Linked DNA regions of Saccharomyces cerevisiae S288C. The protein of the gene in region 2 binds, or shares a complex with, the protein of the main gene of each other region. Each region holds a gene or a part of one and is shown on either strand. Other genes may lie near its edges. The genes, in order: SPT20 and TRA1. A codon is read from its position in the direction of its gene.

Region 1 (4,173 bases), on a different chromosome or scaffold from region 2:
ACAGGAATAGCAGTGGAAATGGGAACTCTTATAAAAGTAATGATTCGCTAACATATAATTGCGGCAAAACTTTAAGTGGAAAGGACATATACAATTATGGATTGATCATATTAAACCGAATTAATCCTGACAATTTTTCTATGGGCATTGTTCCCAATAGTGTCGTAAATAAAAGAAAAGTATTTAATGCAGAAGAGGATACACTTAACCCACTAGAGTGCATGGGGGTAGAGGTGAAAGATGAATTGGTCATTATTAAGAACTTGAAGCATGAGGTCTATGGTATATGGATTCATACAGTTAGTGATAGACAAAATATCTACGAACTAATAAAATATCTTCTGGAAAATGAGCCAAAAGATTCTTTTGCTTGAGCACAGAGGTGAGATGCCCAAGTGAGAATTTTTTTTAAATAATGATGTACTTTAATACAATATATATATATATATATATATATATATATATATATATATAAGGAATGATAACTCTATTTAAGTAGATTATGACATTGTAGTAGAAGAGGGCGTGCTACTTGCGCTCTGTTTCTTCTTAGTCATTCTTTTCTTTTTAGGAGCTGGTGTACCGCTCTCGCTTTTTTTTGCATTTTTTCTAGGTCGCTTAACCTTTGGTTTATCTAAATTATTATTATTATTATTATTGTTACTGGTGGCATTGTTACCACTCCGTTTATTTGCGTTTTTCATGGCTCCACCATTCTGTTGTTGCTCCAAGGCCTGCTGTTGTCTTTGAAGTAGCTGTTGCTGTGGAGTCAATGGTGCTGTCATCGATATTCTAGCGTTGAAGGGGGTTGGATTGATGTTTGCACTTAAAGCCTGCTGTTTTCTTTTTTCTTTATTTATTCTCCATTGTTCAATAAATTTCAGCCTGCTAAATTGATTATTATCGTTACCCATGGTAGATCCCACTGCAGCCGCAGCCGCTGCCGCTGCCAAAGCTACTTGATTGCCATTAGCCAAACTGTTATTCCTTGTATTTGATGCGGAATTCGAAGTTGAGGACGAAGCTCCACGTACCCCGTTGGAACTGGAGCTAGCAATCTCCATCGCATTCTTGGTTAACGAAACAGCAAACGTGGAGTTGGTTATCGTTGTTGTGCGTTCATTCATGATCAACATCAACTGTTCATAATTTGAACTATGTTGCGGAAATTCATCGCGTTCTTCGATATGCCCTACAACGCCCTTCGTGCCTTCTCTCGTAGACTCAGCACGATGTTCGTGAATGAAGGATTTTTTTTCACTATCCCAATGAGGTTCTGAAAAAGCTGTTTCCTCCAACATGTCTCGGTGCTCATATGGATTTAATGGCACACTTAGTGACAAGTTCCTCTTGGTAAGTGTTAAAATTTCAGATTCAAACTGTTGATAAATGCTATCAGAAAACCTGGCATTATCTGCATAAGACATCATGTCATAATACGTCGTCAAATCATTAGGCTTCAACAATGTTCGATATACTCTAGGTCGTTTGAAGGATGCCTTCTTATTTGCTGTGTTTGCGCCTGTATTTGCCACACCACTATTAGGTTCGGATGGTTGTTGAATCTTGGAATTGTCCTGTGTGCTATTATTATTTGAAGGGGAAGAAGAGCTGTTCAAATTAGGCTTGTTCTCTTTGGGGGTGACATCAACTGTATTAGTATGGTCATAAACCTGTAAAATAAGATTTCCTTCGTAAAATTGGATATTACAGTCCCTTAAGACTTCCATAATAGCATCAGGAATCCTTCCTCTTGCGACGTACTCTAAAAATTCTTTCAAAGTTTCGTTATTTTTGGTTAATATTAAACCGTCACTAGTCAGCTCGGGTTGCTTTTGCTGCTGTTGTAACCTGCTATTTGCAGGAGCGCAAATCTTATAATTATTCTCATAAATATGAAATTCAAAACTGTGTAAATATTGCTCATATTTTTTCAAAATTGAGTCTGCATCTTCCACAAAATTGTAAAGTCTTTTAGGTCTTTTGTTTAAGGTCATAAGCATTTGATAAAACTGAGCCTCATAGTTTTGGAGTGCTTGCTGTTTTCTCTGTTGTTCGAGTAGTCTTTGCTGTAGTAATAATCGTTGTCTTTGCTGCAATTGCTGTATTTGCTCCCTGGTTAAAGTCCTAGTACCTTCATTGGCATTACTATTACTGTTTGTCCTCATAACAGGATGATTTACATTTGCTACCGCTGGGTTCATAGGAGGTGGTACATTAACTGGACTGCCTGGCGAACCCATATTGGATGGTGTTGCGTTCACAGGAATACCAAATACATGGGGATCGTTTCCTGTCGGGCTATTGGCACTCATCCCTGAAATATATAGGCGCAAATTAACCGTAACTATTCCTTCCTAATCCTCTTGAAGGCTACTTTTCTCATTCTTTTATCTCTGCTGGTCGATCATCTTAACACTTCTTCATGATTAATGGTCGTCAGGTATCACGAGCGGGTAACAGAACTAAGCAGTTATAGCGATCCCAGTTTTACTTTAAAGATAGTTAGTTAGTTATTAATGGTGCGGATAACAAGAACTATTGTCACTCAGAATCTTATACAGGTATGGACATGGAACATTGGGTCATATACATAAGAAATAAATTATAAAGAAGGGTCGAATCAAACATAAGCGGAGAATAGCCAAATAAAAAAAAAAGATGAAAAGAAAGCTATGTAGCTTTCCACATGTCTTGCATACCAAGGATAGATGTGACAACACCGGATAGCGCAACATACTCTTCGTTGCTAGACAAGTACCCTAGGTTGTTGAGGACGATGAACGAATCTGCAGCATCCCAGAATAGTCTTCTTAACGCGGTGTACCTGTCTTGGTATGCCTTCCCTAGTACCTTCTTGTGATCCTCATGCTCATCGCCTTGGCTTTGTGATTTTGCCTTGACAAACGCAGCAATCTGGGCATGAGATGTTTGGATCTTACGAAGATCCATAGCCAGACCACTTAGGAGGCCGAACAGCCAACACCAATTGGACCAGCGAGGTATTTTCTTACCGGTAAGAACGGTTACAGGAATCACTTTCAAAATTCTCAAAAGATTGACTTGATCTAACGACAAATATGCAGCAAAGAAGATGTTTTTCAAAACATTGCAGACTCTAACGACGTTGTCGCTGGCCAACTTGTTATCGTAGAATTTAGCAGCTGCCTGCAAGTGGTTTAAAGGCTTCAGAAACCTCAGAAATTTTCTGACTGTGGTAAATTGAGCTTGTAATTGCCTGGCCAAGAGAGATGAGTTCTGTACTGCTAAAAATCTTGCTAAATACTGCAGTAATCTGAGAACCTTTTCTCTGCCAGCTGAGCCATCTAGAAATTTGACGAATCTCGTCACGGAGGGATGATATACCAGTGTATCACAGACCATATTGATTATACTATTACTTGATGAAGTCTTTGAAGTAGTAGATGGAGACAACGGTTTTTCAGTTGTTGGAGTCACTTCCCTTTTATATCTATAAATGATATACCCATCGCTTCGGGTTCTCCGAGATAAATGCCGACGCGTAGTGAAAATCGCAATGGAATTGATGCCAACTTTGTTCTTGGTATTATATTTTTACAATAGAAGGGCAAGCATAGAAAGGATGGGTTACTATGACATTGATGATGTCCTAGCAGATGGGACAGAGTTTCCTTGTAAATTTCAATATGATATTCCTGGTCTTGGTTATTTGGAAAACAACCCAGGACGACCCATAACGAAAAACACTAAACTAAGCCTGCCACTATGGTTAGCAAGAATCCTTGCAATTGTGGGTGGTGACGAAGCCTTGGTAGATGAAGAACCTGTACCTTTTGTGGAACTCCTGCCACCAGATATGTTTTCTACGAAAGTTATGAACGCTATAAAGACCGATCCGGTGGCTCTGGACTTGCATTCCATAAATTCGCATTTCTTCAGTCTAGCCATAAAATGGATAATGTTGTTTAGCGAAAAAGAACTGGCCAATGTCGTTAGTGAGCTACTTTTGCAACGTGCCCAAGAACTTAATCATCATGCTAGTAGTTTATCGATTGATCTCAATGCAGACTCGACCGGAAAAAATTCAGCGAACACTAATATAGCAACTAGCACATTTTTACTGAAACTAGAAGAAATGGAGAAGGAGATATATAAAAAGTCTCATGAATCTTATAAGGACACGAAAAGGTG
Region 2 (17,493 bases):
CTGCACAATAACTCCCTAATCTTCGAGTTCTTATACAGGCCGGCGGCTTGTAAATAACAGCTTATTGCATTACTAGCAAAACTAATGTTGTTTGGCTCTTCTGACAAACGACGGTCATTGAAGAAACCCCATTGGGCCCATGCTTTAGCCAAGTTCAAGTCTATCTGAACAGCTGTTGCAAAGGCTTGATTTGCCTCTTCATATGCGCGTAATTTAGACAAAAACATACCCTTCAATGTGAAGAATTCAGCTTTTTGGACAGTACCAAAGTAAACCAAATTAGTATTACTAATAACATCCAGACCCGTTGTTAATTCGTTCATGTTTTGGTAATGACATTTAGCTTGCTCCCTTAACTTTAGGAAAGCCTCCTGAATTTCTATATTCGGTAGGGTGTAAATACGTGCCAGCTGACTGATACACACGTCAGGCATGTTGTGCTTCCTTGCAACATGTGCAAACCTGTTGATTACCCAGGCAATTTCATGATATCCCCTATATGCATGAGTATTAATATTGCTATTACTGTTTGATTGTTGAAGTGCCGGTATTAATGGGAGATATGCGTTGTTAATAACCTGGAATGCATGTTGTCTCCATGTTACTAGGTCATTCCACATATTGACATCATCCCATGTGTTTGGTAGACGGTCTCTCCAAGCTTGCAAGATGCGCTTAATCTCTTGGGCTTTAGAATCCAGATTCTGTACTGTTGTTGTATGCAAGTTAGCATATATCTGTGTCGCTTCCAAAAATTCCATGTACTGTTGAAACCCATGTAATAGCCACTTATGAGCTGGTGTATATCTAATTGGCAGAGACACCCACTTTATTAGACTTAATTGTATTCCTTCATCGCATAGCTTTCTAACTTCTTGATCTCCTTTTCTGCTTTCTGCGAAATTTTGAAGAGCCAAAAAGGTCTTAAACATTTGCCTTCGTGGAGTTGGAACGTCCATAACGCTTTTTACTGATTGCTCAAGTGCATCACGATCACTGTTCCAATCAGCAACACGCCAACCACATTCTAATAATAAGTCCGTGAACCCTTCATGCTTCGCTAATTCAGTTAATACGTCCCAATGTTGTAATTTTTCAGCACACTGTATCCAGTTATCTTCCCATAGTGCATACTCAGACTGTGAGTAGGGCAAGGCACCACTACGAGCTTTGACCTGTGCCACTTCATAAAGTTGTTGAGCTTTGTCCCAAAGGCCAATTTGTTCATATGATAAACCAATGTTAGTCTCTGTGTATTTTGCTCTACGTCTCCAAAGACCATAAAACATGTCTTCTTCTTGTAGATTGACGTATAGTTCTAATAGCGCATCTTCGTTGGCTTCGATAATTTTTGTATTGTCGATGCTAGTATTGCTTTGAATGGATTCCAAGATGTTAATCGATTGATACCAAGCGTTGTATGATATCGCCAAGTATTTGACCAAATGAGGGGGTAATTCTAACGATTCAATTTTACTTATTGAGTCCAATAGCATATTAATCACATTTGTCCTAGAGGAAATTTGTCTGGTATGATAAGGTTTAGAAAGCAATGTAATGATAGATCGAACAAACCCGTATTTTTCATTCTTTGGAATACTTTTGTATACCTGGGGAAATAACGTAACCCACGCTCTATGAATTGCTTTTGGATCTTGGTAAAATATTTCAATCAAAGAATCGATGAAATCCGAAGAGATTATTCGACATAAACCTTGCATGGAAGCTATATGACCTTTAACAAAGTTTGATAATTCCAGATCGTTTACTTCGGTTACCATTTCAGCATTTTCTGGGAGGTACTCTTGTAAAATCGATGGTGGAGACAAACAATAAATGTTCTTTAAAGATAATTCCTTCTCTCTATTAAAAGAACCATATAGTAATTGTAAAGCTTGATTTAACCATGGATAATCAGCAATAAATTCCCAGTTTTGGTCCCGTATAACATAATATAGTCTCTCTTTGATATCTCTTTCCAAACTATTATCCAAAATTGTCATGAATCTTTTCCTTATACCGATGTCTTCAACACGCGTTCCTACGAGGAAAGGTTGTTCCATTCTAACGGTAATTTCTGTGTTATTAAAATGTTCTTGATCAAATAGTTTCAAGACTATTTCGTAGAATAGCTTTGACAATGAAGGTTCCCCTCTAATCTCAAACGCCAGCATCTTCGTTAATATAGCCGCTTTTTCTTTAACAGTTGGAAAAATTTCAGTATTGAATATCCAGCTTCTGGACATATTGACAATTTTCCTCAAAAAATTTTGATCCATGGAGTGATCAATCAGAAGTGCCACAGTGGAGAGGAAAGGACGACGGGAGTCACCCAAGAGTGAGACTTTCAAAGATAATATATATAAAACTTTCTCTAAAAGTTTCGTCGTAATCCTTGCCTCTTCCAGAGCCATGGCGTCCTTCGGTTGTGAAATGCTTAAGTGATCTTTGCATAACTTACTGAACGTCTTCATCAAAGGCGTTAATAATGGGACGATGTTATCCGGAAAGTTCATGAAGAGTACCCAAGCTAGAGTTACACCAGCTGTAACTGATGAGGTTTCCTGAAGATCCTGAGTTATCACGGAGGTTAACATTTGGATAAATGTCTTACCAGGGCTTTCTTCTTCAATTATCACTGATACACCCTGAGCTTTTATTGCCTTCATTATTACCTGCAAAACTTTTTGCAGAGCTTCCTGTACATCGTGATGATCAGATTTGATACATTTTTCTAGAAGATTTTGAATGGTAGGTAAGTTTTCCATTATCCATTCTTTTGTCTTATTTTTGAAGAATACATAAAGCACATCCAAAGCATTCATGCAGTAGTAAAGAATATTTTCGGAATCGAGATCTTGAAATATCAAAAACTTCTCGAAGTAAACCAGTTTAACATTGACGTTTGTCCAATGCTTATCTGAGATTAATTCTGATAAAATATTGATAGCTCTTAATCCTAGTTCTGTTTCTATGGCACGGTGATTACTTGCACACACGTATCTTATCAAAAACGCCGTACAAGCCTCGCGTAAATGTAAAGATATAGGCGAGTTGTTATTAGCGTCTACAATTATTGCGGTTGTGTCAGCCTCAACTGGATTAATATCACTTTTAGAATCGGACATTACAACATCTCCGTCGGAATCGGTCTTGGTATTATTTACATTCGTAATTTCTAAGGTCTTGTTCTCCCAATAAAGAATTAATGACGCCAAATCAATAGCTAAAGTATGACTATCAGAGTTTGAATTTGACATGAACGTTATCTTATTCATATGATGAATAATATTTGATATGAACAAATCTCTTGAATTGAAAAATAAATCAGGGTGGCTTATCAAAAATTGGTATAAAATGTTGTTCTGACTAGAAGAATTTTCTACCATTACCCTTTTAACCCAGTTAATCCAGGTATCGGGCGTCCCAGCTGCGTTCATACGTTCATGGAGAACAGGGGTGAGAACGTCCAGCGATTGCTTAACTAAGTACCTAGCTTCGACATGAGAAGAACGTAATAGGGCAACAAAAACCTGGGTGACAACTTTAATAGGGAAATCAAACTTGGATATGAAATATGATGTAACCAGGTACGCGGATTGTTTGATAAGGGTATCTTCGAGCTTTATGAAATTCCAGCAGAATTTTATTATATCTTTCTTTATCTCGGCTATAATTTCTGGATCTGCCTTAATGAAAATTGCTGACAGTTGTAAGAGTTCAAAACGGAATAAATCATGATGGTCTAGAACGTCATATGCTAAAATTGCATTTGAGTTCTTCCAAATTTTATTGTGGAGTAACTCTAACCATTTAGGTTTTTTATCCTCCACAAGATAGCTTTTCAAAGATCCAGATGTTGCCACTTCATAAATCAAAGTTGAATTTATGACATTTTTAAGTACAAATATTCTAGCATCCAAACATTTGTCAGATAGAACGAAAAGTGTTGCATCATTTATGAAGTTATTCTGCTTTTCTTTATTTGAACTTGCTATTATATTATGGAAGATGAATTTCTTGAGGGAATATGAGGCTTTGATACCATTTGAAAAAGAAAAATCAATGAAATCTAGGAGCAGAGGATTTTGATCCCTTTCGGATAATTCAGTGAAACGCAGGTAAAGAGCTTGGAATTTTGCAATACTTTGATTTAATTGTAGATGGTCGATGTAAAACGAGTTTTCCTTTATTGTTTTTAATGTCAAGTTCAGCATATCTTTTAATTTCAAAATCATGTTGCCTTTTTTCTTTAGCCATTCGTCCCCATTCGTGATCACCATTGTATTAAAGAGATCAACCATATTAGTAAAAAAACTAACAACACGTACTTGGTTTTTTGGTATATTGGAAATGTAAAAGTCATAGAAGTTGTCGAGTTCTTTCTCAAAATCTTCGGCCAGCTCCTTTGCTTCAGGTCTTTGCACAATATTGCACATGAAAAGCACTAATTGCCTTAACGTCATATTTTTCTTGAAGTACTCTGTTACGGGGTTATGGAAACGGTTCAGGTACCTCGCTAGTGGTGTACGAAATGGAGAATCCAGTTGAAGACGTAGTTTTCTCTCTAGAAGCATAACTTTGAGCAACAAATCATTTAAAAACATATCAGCTTGTGGTGGCAGTAGATGAAATATATTAATAATGCTTACTATTATTTTAGTTGGCATCTGCTCTGCTAAATCTTGGCCAAATAATGTGTCAAGAACTTCAACACGGCACCATGCCGTGAGGTGATCTAACAACTTTCTTCCGATTTCTACTTTAAAGTATGCAATCAATAACTCGAGAAGCTTCGATAAAGCATCCAGACCAGGGACCGTCAGCTTTTGGTGGTCAGATAAATTCATTAAAAGAGGTTTTAATCCGTTCTGAAGTAATTCTTTCGGCAATTTAGAGTTTTCTGCTAAGGAACCTTTCAAAGCTTCATATGTAGTATTAATAATTTCTGGTGAAGTTTTCAGCATTGTTTTGAAAAAAACAGCTAGAATTCGAATTCTGATGTTTCCTTGTTGAGCTGTGGCAAATTCTTCATTTTTAAGAGCAATCGCAAGTAATTTTATGCACGCTATTCTTAATTGTACTAATTGCTCGGAAGTACTATATTCGGTTGTCTTTTGGATATTGGTGGATAGTGATTCATCTTCTGCATCTGCCAAGACAATAGATTCTTGGAGTAACCTAAACAGTTCTTCATTAAATGTTAGAAATGTGTTTGGTAGACTTAAACAGAATGTGATAGCATCGACATTACCGATTTGCATAGTGAAAGGTAATGCTCTTAAAGGTTTTGCAAATATTGGTGATAGAAGAAATTGTTTGGAATGATCCATCAATTTTACTATAGGAATTCCAGTGAGGTTTGAAATTGTATGTAAGGACTTCTGGCAGGCATTTCTTACCTTAGGATTTGCATTACTTAATTCGCATACTATGTCCGTCAGTGTGTTCTCCAAGACTTTGTTACCCAAATCCTCTTCTTTTACATCCGCGAACGTAATACTTAATAGATCTATTAGTAATTTCTCAGCGCTATCTGTTATAGCAGATGGGGCCTCGCTCTGAGTGTCCTTCAGCACAAATAATAGACCATTGGCTAGGTTATACTGATACTTTTTTAGGAAAACTGAGGACGACTTAACATTATCAATGAGAACTTTTATACCCAAGACACCGCCTCTTTTGTTGTAATATGTTTCGTCGTAACACAAATGGATAAACTGTTTAGCTAATTCCGGTATGAAGGAGTGACTTAAAGCTAGTTCCTCCCCATATATCAGACAACTTTTTTCGTATATTCTTTTGTACGCCAAAACACCCACCTCACGAACTTCTGGAATGTAGTACGAAAGGGCAAAGGGAATAGCATCTAGAATCAATGAGCTATCTAGCATGAAGTTTGGGTTCTTTAGATCGATGTTAAATGTCCCATTATAGTTTCTCTTATTAAGCAACGTAGTGTTTACTTGTAATAGGCAGAAATGATCCAAAAGGTTATTCAGTAGGTCCATTGCGTCATCTTTTAGTTCCTTTATCGAAGTTGCGTAAAAAACGCTCTCCAGTAACCTCAAAAACAAATTTTCTTGGTTCGAATAATCTCTCTTATTTACAGTTGGTTCCAAATCAAAGTTTTTTTCTATTCCAATCCTCTCTAGCTTTATAGAATTCACTGCTGTCTTCAACAGTTCCGTGTAATTCGTAGGAAACTCTGCTGATGATTTTGTCATTAACAGTAGTACACAGGTTAGATACTTGTAAGCACTCTTCCTGTAGTGAATATCACTTTTGTAGCTTTGCAATATATTCAAAGCGGACTGGATTCCTGGCGTTACAGAAAGCGGTACATCTTCCGGCATACCATTGATTTTGAAATCTGCTATCGCATCAATGTCTAGTTCCGTTTTTTCCGTGAGGTCCGTTGGTGGCTTTAAAAATTGACGATTTCTACCTCCTAATTTGCCCAGTATTCTGACTACGTTGTGGCTGATAGCATGATTAAATGGTTGAGGTTGCAGAAGGTTAAACAAGGCCTTCGAAACGTCATCGATTACCGGTTCGATTATAGGATCAAAATACTCGGCGGTCAAATTATCAATACATAATTCTAAGGTCCTTAAACCCTGCGAAACGAGATCAGGATATTGCTGTAATGCAAATACCAATGGTTTCATCAAAAATGGCAAATAAGGAGCAAGCACACTTAACCGAACTGGTACAGTGATGCATAATTCCACATAAAGTTCTCTCTCGTGGGGCAATCGTGCAGTAAGTATCATTTGGTTTAAAGATTGTAATAGCACCTGTAGTATGGGCTTAATCGATCTATATAAGTTTTCAAATCTGCCCCCACCTATACTTCTAAAAAGAGTTCTAATAAGATAAAAGTATACTAGAGGCTCTTCTGCTGTAGTTGAGTATTTCAGGGAGTTTAGAATTAGATCGTTTAAGTGTGGAAGAAGAACAACCTCATTGATATTGGGGAAAAGATTGACGGACATAAAGGACAATTTGAAAAGTCGTATTAGGACATTAGAAGTGTTAAAATCAACGTTTCCTAAATCTTTCAATTTCCCTTTCAAGAATCTTAAAAGGATGCCAGCAAAATTTGGGGAGGTTATTTCACTTGTTAAAAAGGATTGCGCGACATGTAGCAGCCCAGAATCCTCCAGCATTCTTTCATAGACAAATGGCAGTTCCTGTTCAATTATTTCATTAAAAGTGGCATTATCCATCTGCATAAACATAAATGCCAAATAGTCCATTAACTCACGAGCATCTTTGGTGGCTGAGACCGGTAGGCTGGGCATTGATATATCAAAATGTTTTTTTGTTGTTTCTGGAGATAATTTTTCATTATGATCTTTAAAAAATTTCAAACCAATAATACATTCGTGAAATAAATCCTTGAAAACAATGACTTCCTCATATGAAAAAACTCTAGAAACAGAAGCCCACAATTTAGGATTAGCAACCGTATATTCGTTAGGAGGTGGGTTAAAGACTTTTAAGTCATGAATTATTGTTTTTAAGAAAGACATTAAAGTTCTGTATAAGTAAAAAGCATCCTTGATGGGATCATTTGTTGGTGTGGGTAGTAATAATATAGGTGCGTAGTTTTTTATGTCAAACATTTCAACGTCATTCTTCACCACTTTGTCAGATTCTGTCATTTCAACATCGGGACTATCATTGATATCTTCTTTTTTAGGCTGTGGCATCAAATGGTCGTCATCGGATGGTTCCAGTACCTTCCTCATAAATTCCTCACTCTCTTTGTCATTATCCTGTATAGAGTTTTTGAGCTTTTCTGCTTTCTCCTTCTTATGCGTTTCGTATCTTCCATAGTACTTCATTATTGTATCGTACTGTCTGTTTAAGGTTTTAAATCTATTCATATATGAGTCAATGATTATCATTAACAATTTCTTTGCTCTAGGGGCCTCTTGTGGGTTCTCCTTTCCCAATTTTAATATTCTTTCAACTAAATTAAGCAGCAATTTTGCACTCATGATTTGTACAGTTAAGGCTAATGACTCATCCAATAGATATCCAGTGTAAATCTTTATTGTTTTTTCAATTTCACTTAGTTGTAATTCAGATCTTATATTATGAATGAAATCTGCCACAGTACTATAAGCCAGGGGCCTTAATGTTTCATGCATAGTAAAACCGTTACCAATAAGTATACGTTCGTCAAACAGATAGTCCAATTTGGGTAAAAAGAGCTTTTTGTAGTTTGTAGATAGAATGTGTCTAGTGGCATGCAAAAGTTCCTTCCTAGCAGATGATAGTTCAGAAGGGCAGTCTTGTAAAAGCCTTATGATTAAATCAGGAACAAAATTCACATAATCCTGCAAAAATTCAGGAGCGTATCCTCTAATGAATACGTAAGCCAAGAAAGACGTGGCCTTGATCTGGGCTAATATAAAATCACAGTAAGCCGGTCTGTTGATAATCTCCGTCGATATAGAAGTGAAATGTTCTCCCCGTGATTCCGCCTGTTCTCTCGCTTCCTGTTGTTGTTTAATTTGTATATTCAATAGATTCATAATAAGAGGAGTGAATTCCGGAAGCGAGGTGCTAGTCAACTGCTTGTAAGACGAATATAAAGTGACCATTGTAATAGGGCATTCAGAAAGGATTTTAAAGGAAAACATAGATGACCTCAACCCGTTTGATGAGGTAGAGTTTTCAAACCTTGGCTCCGTGGATGATTGTTTCGATGGAAAGTCCTTTTCTTCATCATTTTTGGAGAATTCATCGAGAAGTTCATCTGCCTGTGGTTCTTTTGGTGAATCCAAATCACCCTGTTCTGCTTTCCCGGCTTCATAAAACGTCTGGTTTATAAGGTTTGGTGTATTTTTATAAATCTGAATAATTATTCGTATGAAGGAGTCGAGTTTGTCCTGTAGTATTGATTTGAATGATTTGAAAAGTGTCGTCAGCACTTTCATACATAATATCCCATTTTCTTCGTTTTCCTTTGGTAGTACTGAAAGTAAAAACTCGAGCACTTCCATTGCGTAGGGTTGAAAGGTTTGGTTCATGAGACACCTGTTGAAAATATCAAGCATAGAGTTTCTCAACTTTTGTTCCGGTGAATGCGCATCATATGAAATAGGAACTTCCTTTAGCTGGTTTAGAAGTAAAGGTATCACAGCTTGTAAGAAAAAATGGTAATCCTCAGGAGAATTCAGTAATTCCATTATGTCGTACAATTCCGATAGAGTGGAATATCTCGATTGTAGAGTGGCATCATCATCGCGAAACCTACTGGCGAATTGCTCGATCTGCTCAGTGAGTGACATCGGCAAAATGCGGTATTCTTTGTAACTATGGAGATATCGTGTGATAGATCTTCTCTGAATTTAATCTTCTTTATGTAATTACGTGTGATACCTCCGATTTTGTTGGTGTTGTTTATTAGAATACAACTAAAAAAGGCTATTAAAGAAAAATGGTTCTTGAGCTTTTTTTTCAGTTTGACCTGGAAAACTGTCTGACCACGTGATCACTTACCAAATTAGGAAACACAAGATTCAAGGTGGTCTTTTGAACAATTGTTGGTTGAATTTGTAATTTGAGGGTACAATAAATGCAGACTGATTTGGTATTCGATACGTGCGTTAGCTATTTTCGTGCGTTTTGTTTGTTCCTATGATCTCAGCGGCGTCCAGATGCTAGTTGAAAAGGCATGAATTATGGCTTTGTCTTGAAATGCGCGTGTCCGTAAAATATTGTCTGGCAGAGTAGCGTACAATTCTTAGTTTTGGCTTTTTGATTCAAGTTGATCTTCAAATTTCACTTATTTGCGTTCTGGCGATCTATCTGAAGGAGTTGATTAGTGGCGGCTAAAAGTGATGCAGCTCGTCCTTCTGTTTGCCCTATTGAAGGTGAAGCCTTCCGTGCACAATGCGAAAAAAATGTTCTTTTTTTTCCTTCGTTTCGTCTCAACGTGGGAACGATCAAACTGGAAAAACCAAAGAGAAAAATGTTAGAAAATAAATAAATAAAAAAAACACGTACGCTGTAACAACTTAGGTCTGATTCAACCAAATCGGAGCTTGCAACTGAAGAAATTAGTAATTTTGAGGGTTACTAAGGAGGCCATTTGCAGAAGAATATTGGACCATCATGTCTCAGCAGAATATTTTGGCAGCTAGTGTTTCAGCGCTCTCTCTTGATGAATCTACTGTGCATACGGGCGGAGCATCTTCCAAAAAAAGTAGAAGACCTCACAGAGCATATCATAACTTTTCCTCGGGCACTGTTCCTACTTTGGGCAATTCACCCTACACTACACCCCAATTGAATCAGCAGGATGGTTTTCAACAACCTCAAGCCTTTACCCCTAAGCAATTTGGTGGCTTCAACAACGGTTCGGGTTCCGTTATGTCCACGCCTGTAATGGTGAGTCAAGAGCGATTCGGTGCGAGTGAGGCCTCCTCGCCATATGGTCAATCTATGCTTGATATGACAGCGCCTCAACCTACATCTCACATTGTTCCAACTCAAAGATTTGAAGATCAAGCTCAATATTTACAACGATCTTTCGAAACTTGTAGAGATTCTGTTCCGCCCTTGCCGACCACCCAGTTTTATTGTGTTGACCAAGGTTCATGTGATCCGCACTTGATGAGTTTATCCATGTACAACATCCCCGAAAGTGAACACTTGAGAGCCGCCACGAAGCTACCACTTGGATTAACCATCCAACCATTTTCCACTTTGACACCGAATGATGCAGAAGTTCCCACAATTCCATTACCAATGGATGGTACGCCTTTGCGTTGTAGACGTTGTCGTGCGTATGCTAATCCTAAATTTCAGTTCACTTATGATTCAAGTGTTATTTGTAATATTTGTAGAGTTAAGATGCAAGTTCCAGGTGAGCATTTTGCGCCCATGGGTCCCAATGGGCAACGAAGTGATTTGAACGAAAAATCAGAGTTATTGCACGGAACAGTCGATTTCTTGGTGCCAAGTATTTACAATGCTATTCAGGAGAAGGAGCTTTTACCACTACACTACGTGTTTTTGATTGATGTTTCATTGTTAGCTAATGAGAACGGAAGTTCTTTAGCCATGGTGGAAGGTGTCAGGTCATGTATTGAGTATATTTCAGATTTCCAGCCAAATTGTGAGGTTGCTATAATCGTTTATGATAATAAGTTGCGGTTCTTTAATTTGAGACCAGATTTAGATAATGCACAAGAGTACATTGTAAGTGAATTGGACGATGTTTTCTTACCATTTTATAATGGATTATTTGTTAAACCCGGAAACTCGATGAAAATCATTAATGACACATTGATAAAAATTAGTGGTTACATCTCCACCGACAAGTATAGTCACGTACCCCAAGTCTGTTATGGTTCTGCTTTACAAGCCGCAAAATTAGCGTTAGACACAGTAACTGGCGGGCAAGGTGGTAAGATTATTTGTTCTTTGAACAGCTTGCCAACGATCGGCAACGGGAATTTATCGCTAAAAAGGGACAATGCACACATTGCTCATGTTAAATGCGACAATGGGTTCTATAAGAAATTAGCATCGGATTTTTTGAAATCCTACATTTCTTTAGATTTATATGTGACCAATGCGGGATTCATTGATATGGCCACTGTGGGCCATCCTGTAGAGATGACTTCCGGTATTTTGAAATATTATCCCCACTTTCAACAAGAGACGGATGCCTTCACTTTGGTTAACGACATGGTTACAAATGTCTCCAATATTGTTGGTTATCAAGCTTTATTGAAAGTTCGCTGTTCTACTGGGCTATCTGTGGAACAGTACTACTGCGATTCATCTGATAATACGGATCATGATCCAATTATTCCTGTATTGACTAGAGATACCACCTTAGATGTCTTACTAAAATATGACAGTAAAATAAAAACAGGAACCGATGTTCATTTCCAAACTGCATTGTTATATACTGATATTGATGGTGTCAGAAAAGTTCGTTCTATTAACACGTCAGGTGCGGTATCTAATAACATTCGTGAAATTTTCAAGTTTATAAATCAAAATCCTGTCATGAGAATAATGATCAAAGATGTCATAAAGACGCTCGGTGATTGTGACTTTGTAAAGATCAGAAGATTAATTGATGACAAGATGGTCGAAATCTTGACCCAATATAGAGGATTGGTTAGCAGTAACTCATCAACGCAATTGATACTGCCGGATTCTATAAAGACATTGCCTGCTTACATGTTAGCATTTGAAAAAAGCGAATTAATGAAGCCAAACGCTCAAAGTACCCGTGGTAATGAACGAATTTATGATTTATTGAAGTACGATTCATTGAACTCAGCACAACTTTGCTACAAACTTTATCCACAAATTGTGCCATTCCATGTATTATTAGAGGAAACTGATCTGACCTTTTACGATGCTAATGATAAATTATTACAGATCAACTCCAGCTCTATTAATAATCTATCTGTAAGAGCCTCACACTCTAATTTCATTAACGGCGGTTGCTACTTGATTTTCCAAGGTGATACTATCTATCTATGGTTTAATGAGAACACCAATAGAATGCTCTTGCAAGACCTGCTGTCAGTGGATGAATCCTTGCCCGTCAGCCAAATTTCGTTATTTAGTGGAACATTGCCTGAGACGGGCACTAGTATTAATCAAAAGGCTTCAAACGTCATTAAAAACTGGCAACAAGTAGTCAACAAGTCATCATTGCCGTTAGTCTTGTTGAGGCCTAATGTTGATCAATATTACAGTAATGTGATGAGTCAATTGCTTTGCGAGGACAAGACCGTCAACAGAATCGAATCATATGACAATTACTTGGTGATAATGCATAAAAAAATTCAAGAAAAACTTCAAAAAGACGATTTCATTAAAGTCTCGACTGCCGCAACTCACGAAAATATCCATCAAAAATTTGTGCAGTTTTGAGCCTCGCTCAAAGGAGACCCTGTGCTTACACGCAGAAAACTGGAAATAACGACATATTGTTGTGGCTGTGGCCGATGCGGTTCGTATATCCATTACTAAATAATTAAATACGTAAATGAATGAATAGACTGATATGATTGTGATTTTTACGTGTTGGCTATATTGTGCCTTTCTGCATTCACCTGCGCCTCCTCATGTAGAAAGGCGTTGATCAAGGGGAATACAGGAGAAGTATTTTTGGGTTCGTGTTTTGGTGGGGTTCCAGCCACAGAAGGGCTCTCGGCAGCGAAACGCTGACTATGCTGAGAATACTGCCAAAAAAAAAAAAAAGGCAGTATGTGAAACGCAGGCAGAGAAAGGGTGAAATTCTACATAGGATGAGAGAATCTCATAATTACAGGGATAAAACTGTAGCTTTGCTTCCTCTTTTATCTTTATTTTTTCTTGACTGTCTTCTGGTAAATCTTGCAAAATTACTACTATTTTGTATTTCAGAAGCGTTTTTTCCAAAGAATACTATATCAAACAGACGCAAATGAATCAAACAGGAAGGACCATAGGCGGTCCTCAAAATGGCGTGAATACAGTGATTAACCCCTTCAGAGTTTCTCCTTCAGAGGACAGAGTATCAAGCAGGGATGAAACGCCCAGGAATTATAAGTATGTGTAGCTCCACTCCCAAAATTGCACTACAGTGTAACTAACAGTCATGACTACTTCAGAATACTAACTTAACTCTTTTTCTCCTTTCAAAATCGATTGAGATAATCCATAATTATTGCAGTAACCCATTTTTAAATGAAGATGACACTAGGAGGGCCCATAACAGTAGCGTTTCCAATTCTAGACAAGAAAGACTCCCATCATATGAAGAAGCTGCGGGGACACCGAAACAGCAAGCTCCATACCCAAAAGAAAAGAAACGCAGTAGTGGTTCAAATAGTCACCAACACAACCACCACCACCATCGTCGTACATCACACGGACATAGGGACAAAGATAAGCAGAAGAGCAAAAGCAGAACCAAGGTTAAGCCCCCTAAAAATGTAGACACTATTGACAAGATGGATGTTACAGGATTATTTGGCGGATCTTTCCATCATGACGGCCCCTTTGATGCATGCACTCCACAGAGAAATAAGAATAATAAAGTGGCGCCTGTACTGGCCTTCCCAGCAGATGGTCCAAATAATACAGTAGGCGGCCGCACAAGTAAGAAGTCTACCTTAGATGAGGTGTTTGGTAGGGAAACAGTAGACGACGATTCTGAGACGCTGAACCAACTACAAGATAGAGCATATTTATTCAATAAGGCCAATTCCAGTACTACGACTTTGGATGCGATTAAACCGAATTCAAAAAATATTACCCAGTTCGATTCCAAAATGAAAACTGAACTAGTCCATGGGCCCATTACGATGGGTCTAGGCTCAACGACGTTCCTGGATGGCGCACCAGCGTCTTCCGCTGCCATAGAGCAAGATGTTATCAACCACGCACAAGAATCTCGTAGGAAAAACAGCATAGCAAGAAAAAAGTCTCTCCCCTCAAGAAGACATCTACAAGTGAACAACAACAATTTAAAGCTAGTGAAAACACATAGTGGACACTTGGAGCAAAAGGACGTAGACGATAATAGAACTTCTGTTCCGGTCACTGCCACCCAAGGAAGCGGTCACGAAGATGTTGTTAAAAAGGAAAACACCGGCAACAAGCTATTAAGGAGGGTGAAAAGCTTGAAAACTAGTAAAAAGCACTGATCAATGCTTCTTTCTTGCGTTCTTTTTGTTGCGCCCATATATTATTTTATTTATTACATTCATATAGCAATATTTACCTTATTTTATTGGTTACTTTTCTATACGCAAAATCACTACACTATGTTATGTTAAGGTCTCCGATACGGGAATATACCAATCAATACTTATCACTTCGGATTTTTTATGGGTCTTATCCCCACTGTTCCATTTTCTTGTTTAAGGCATCCCGGAGGATAAACTAAAAAGGTGGCCCATCCCACCCGAAATGAAAGTAATCATCTGCTAGCAAAAAGTAAAGAAATGAGAGCATGCTGTGATGTACTGGTGGACGAAATTGTGACCCATACCCACCGAAGAAACATCCGCATGACGTGTTACTGTTACTTCCCGGATTAAGGGATGCATTCTAACTCTGTGCGCCCTTTTCTCTGCAGTTGATCCGCATTCCCCGTGGCTGTGCACATTAGGGGACAGTAAGTAATTCACTTTCTGATCCCGCACTCATAGCGATGGAATAATATACCGGATTTCACACCTTGTTATTGAGTGAAGTACTGCTTGGTGAAATGATATCTTTATGTTCAATATTAATGGTCGTGTGGATGAATATATGGGCATGGGTTAATTAGTTTTAGGGGCACGGAGTAAACAAGAAAGGAGGGCCAGAATCATTAGTAGAGTACCTCAAGTTTGGTTTCTTTTTGATTTCACGTATAAAAGAGTCTCTCTCTTTTCTTTTCATGCTAGTCGAACGGTTCTCCCTCTAAGAATAAGAAACTATCAAAAGAAAGAGAAAAGTCGATTGAATAATTTTTCTATATATAATATACGCAAACAAGATTCGCTTTCACTTTGCAATTTTACTTCATAGCTTTGTTAAAACCAGCAAAAAATATTATTTTTCTAGAAAAAAGAATATATTAGAGGTAAAGAAAGAATGTCGGAACTTGAAAACGCTCATCAAGGCCCCTTGGAAGGGTCTGCTACTGTGAGCACAAATTCTAACTCATACAACGAGAAGTCAGGAAACTCGACTGCTCCTGGTACCGCCGGTTACAACGATAATTTGGCACAAGCTAAACCCGTCTCAAGTTACATTTCCCATGAAGGCCCTCCCAAAGACGAACTGGAAGAGCTTCAGAAGGAGGTTGACAAACAACTAGAGAAGAAATCGAAGTCGGATTTACTATTTGTATCCGTCTGCTGTTTGATGGTTGCTTTTGGTGGGTTCGTGTTTGGGTGGGATACTGGTACTATATCTGGTTTTGTCAGGCAAACAGACTTCATTAGGCGATTTGGCAGCACCCGTGCAAACGGGACTACCTATCTTTCCGATGTCAGAACCGGTTTGATGGTTTCTATTTTCAACATCGGCTGCGCTATCGGAGGTATAGTTTTGTCAAAGCTCGGTGATATGTATGGACGTAAGATTGGTCTGATGACTGTTGTCGTCATTTACTCAATTGGGATCATCATCCAAATCGCCTCCATTGACAAATGGTATCAATATTTCATTGGAAGAATCATCTCAGGACTGGGCGTTGGTGGTATTACAGTTTTGGCGCCTATGCTAATTTCTGAAGTGTCGCCTAAGCAGTTGCGTGGTACTCTGGTTTCATGTTACCAATTAATGATCACTTTCGGTATCTTTTTGGGATATTGTACTAATTTTGGTACCAAGAATTACTCAAACTCTGTCCAATGGAGGGTACCATTAGGCTTATGCTTTGCATGGTCTATTTTTATGATTGTTGGTATGACGTTCGTTCCTGAATCCCCACGTTATCTGGTAGAAGTGGGAAAAATTGAAGAGGCCAAGCGGTCCTTAGCAAGAGCTAACAAAACCACTGAAGACTCTCCTTTAGTAACTTTAGAAATGGAGAACTATCAGTCTTCTATTGAAGCTGAGAGATTGGCGGGCTCTGCTTCTTGGGGGGAATTGGTTACTGGTAAGCCCCAGATGTTCAGACGTACACTAATGGGTATGATGATTCAATCTTTACAACAGCTGACAGGTGACAATTACTTCTTTTACTATGGTACTACAATTTTCCAGGCTGTTGGTTTGGAAGATTCATTTGAAACTGCTATTGTTTTGGGTGTTGTTAATTTTGTTTCGACTTTTTTCTCGCTATATACCGTCGATCGTTTTGGTCGTCGTAATTGTTTGTTATGGGGCTGTGTAGGTATGATTTGTTGCTATGTCGTCTATGCCTCTGTTGGTGTTACCAGATTATGGCCAAACGGTCAAGATCAACCATCTTCAAAGGGTGCTGGTAACTGTATGATTGTTTTCGCATGTTTCTACATTTTCTGTTTCGCTACCACTTGGGCCCCCGTTGCCTATGTCCTTATCTCTGAGTCGTATCCCTTAAGAGTACGTGGTAAAGCAATGTCGATTGCAAGTGCCTGTAACTGGATTTGGGGGTTCTTGATCAGTTTTTTCACTCCATTTATTACTTCAGCAATCAATTTCTATTATGGCTATGTCTTTATGGGTTGTATGGTGTTCGCATACTTTTATGTGTTCTTCTTTGTTCCAGAGACAAAGGGCTTAACATTAGAAGAAGTCAACGAAATGTATGAAGAAAATGTGCTACCTTGGAAGTCTACCAAATGGATCCCACCATCTAGGAGAACAACAGATTATGACCTAGACGCTACTAGAAATGATCCGAGACCATTTTATAAAAGGATGTTCACTAAAGAAAAATAATCTCTTGTAGTGTAGGATCAACTATTTTCGCATACTTGCAATGTTCAGCATTGCACCATTTCAAATTTTAATATTAATATTAATCGTTTTCGT

What was found.
Region 1: the proteins of TRA1 (region 2) and SPT20 are in contact, whole or in part, in a cryo-EM structure (PDB 6T9I), measured with the Saccharomyces cerevisiae proteins. Residues at the interface, in NP_011967.1 of Saccharomyces cerevisiae: Tyr2577, Arg2581, Ile2584, Ser2588, Leu2618, Pro2619, Pro2620, His2621, Leu2622, Val2623, Ser2648, Asp2650, Asn2651, Lys2653, Ile2654, Glu2656, Ala2657, Asp2660, Glu2708, Gln2711, Val2712, Ala2714, Arg2715, Tyr2721, Gln2723, Ser2724, Tyr2726, Glu2730, Asp2731, Trp2733; in NP_014493.1 of Saccharomyces cerevisiae: Asn389 (codon at 1,151), Tyr390 (codon at 1,148), Glu391 (codon at 1,145), Leu393 (codon at 1,139), Met394 (codon at 1,136), Leu395 (codon at 1,133), Ile396 (codon at 1,130), Met397 (codon at 1,127), Asn398 (codon at 1,124), Arg400 (codon at 1,118), Thr403 (codon at 1,109), Ile404 (codon at 1,106), Thr405 (codon at 1,103), Asn406 (codon at 1,100), Thr408 (codon at 1,094), Phe409 (codon at 1,091), Val411 (codon at 1,085), Ser412 (codon at 1,082), Lys415 (codon at 1,073), Gln474 (codon at 896), Phe475 (codon at 893), Ser476 (codon at 890), Arg477 (codon at 887), Leu478 (codon at 884), Phe480 (codon at 878), Ile481 (codon at 875), Glu482 (codon at 872), Trp484 (codon at 866), Arg485 (codon at 863).

What each region holds. Positions count from the first base shown.
Region 1 is NC_001147.6:45,260-49,432, forward strand, and holds SPT20 (Spt20p), read right to left. Parts: upstream 2,316-4,173; coding exon 501-2,315; downstream 1-500. Other genes in the region: DCP1 (Dcp1p), read left to right, coding at 1-374; PEX11 (Pex11p), read right to left, coding at 2,674-3,384; DNA replication protein PSF3, read left to right, coding at 3,605-4,173. UniProt on the Saccharomyces cerevisiae protein: Component of the transcription coactivator SAGA complex. SAGA acts as a general cofactor required for essentially all RNA polymerase II transcription. At the promoters, SAGA is required for transcription pre-initiation complex (PIC) recruitment.
Region 2 is NC_001140.6:294,576-312,068, reverse strand, and holds the start of TRA1 (histone acetyltransferase TRA1), read right to left. Parts: upstream 9,309-17,493; coding exon 1-9,308. Other genes in the region: SFB3 (Sfb3p), read left to right, coding at 10,135-12,924; PAL2 (Pal2p), read left to right, coding at 13,460-13,584, 13,709-14,684; hexose transporter HXT5, read left to right, coding at 15,622-17,400. UniProt on the Saccharomyces cerevisiae protein: Essential scaffold subunit of the transcription coactivator SAGA complex. SAGA acts as a general cofactor required for essentially all RNA polymerase II transcription.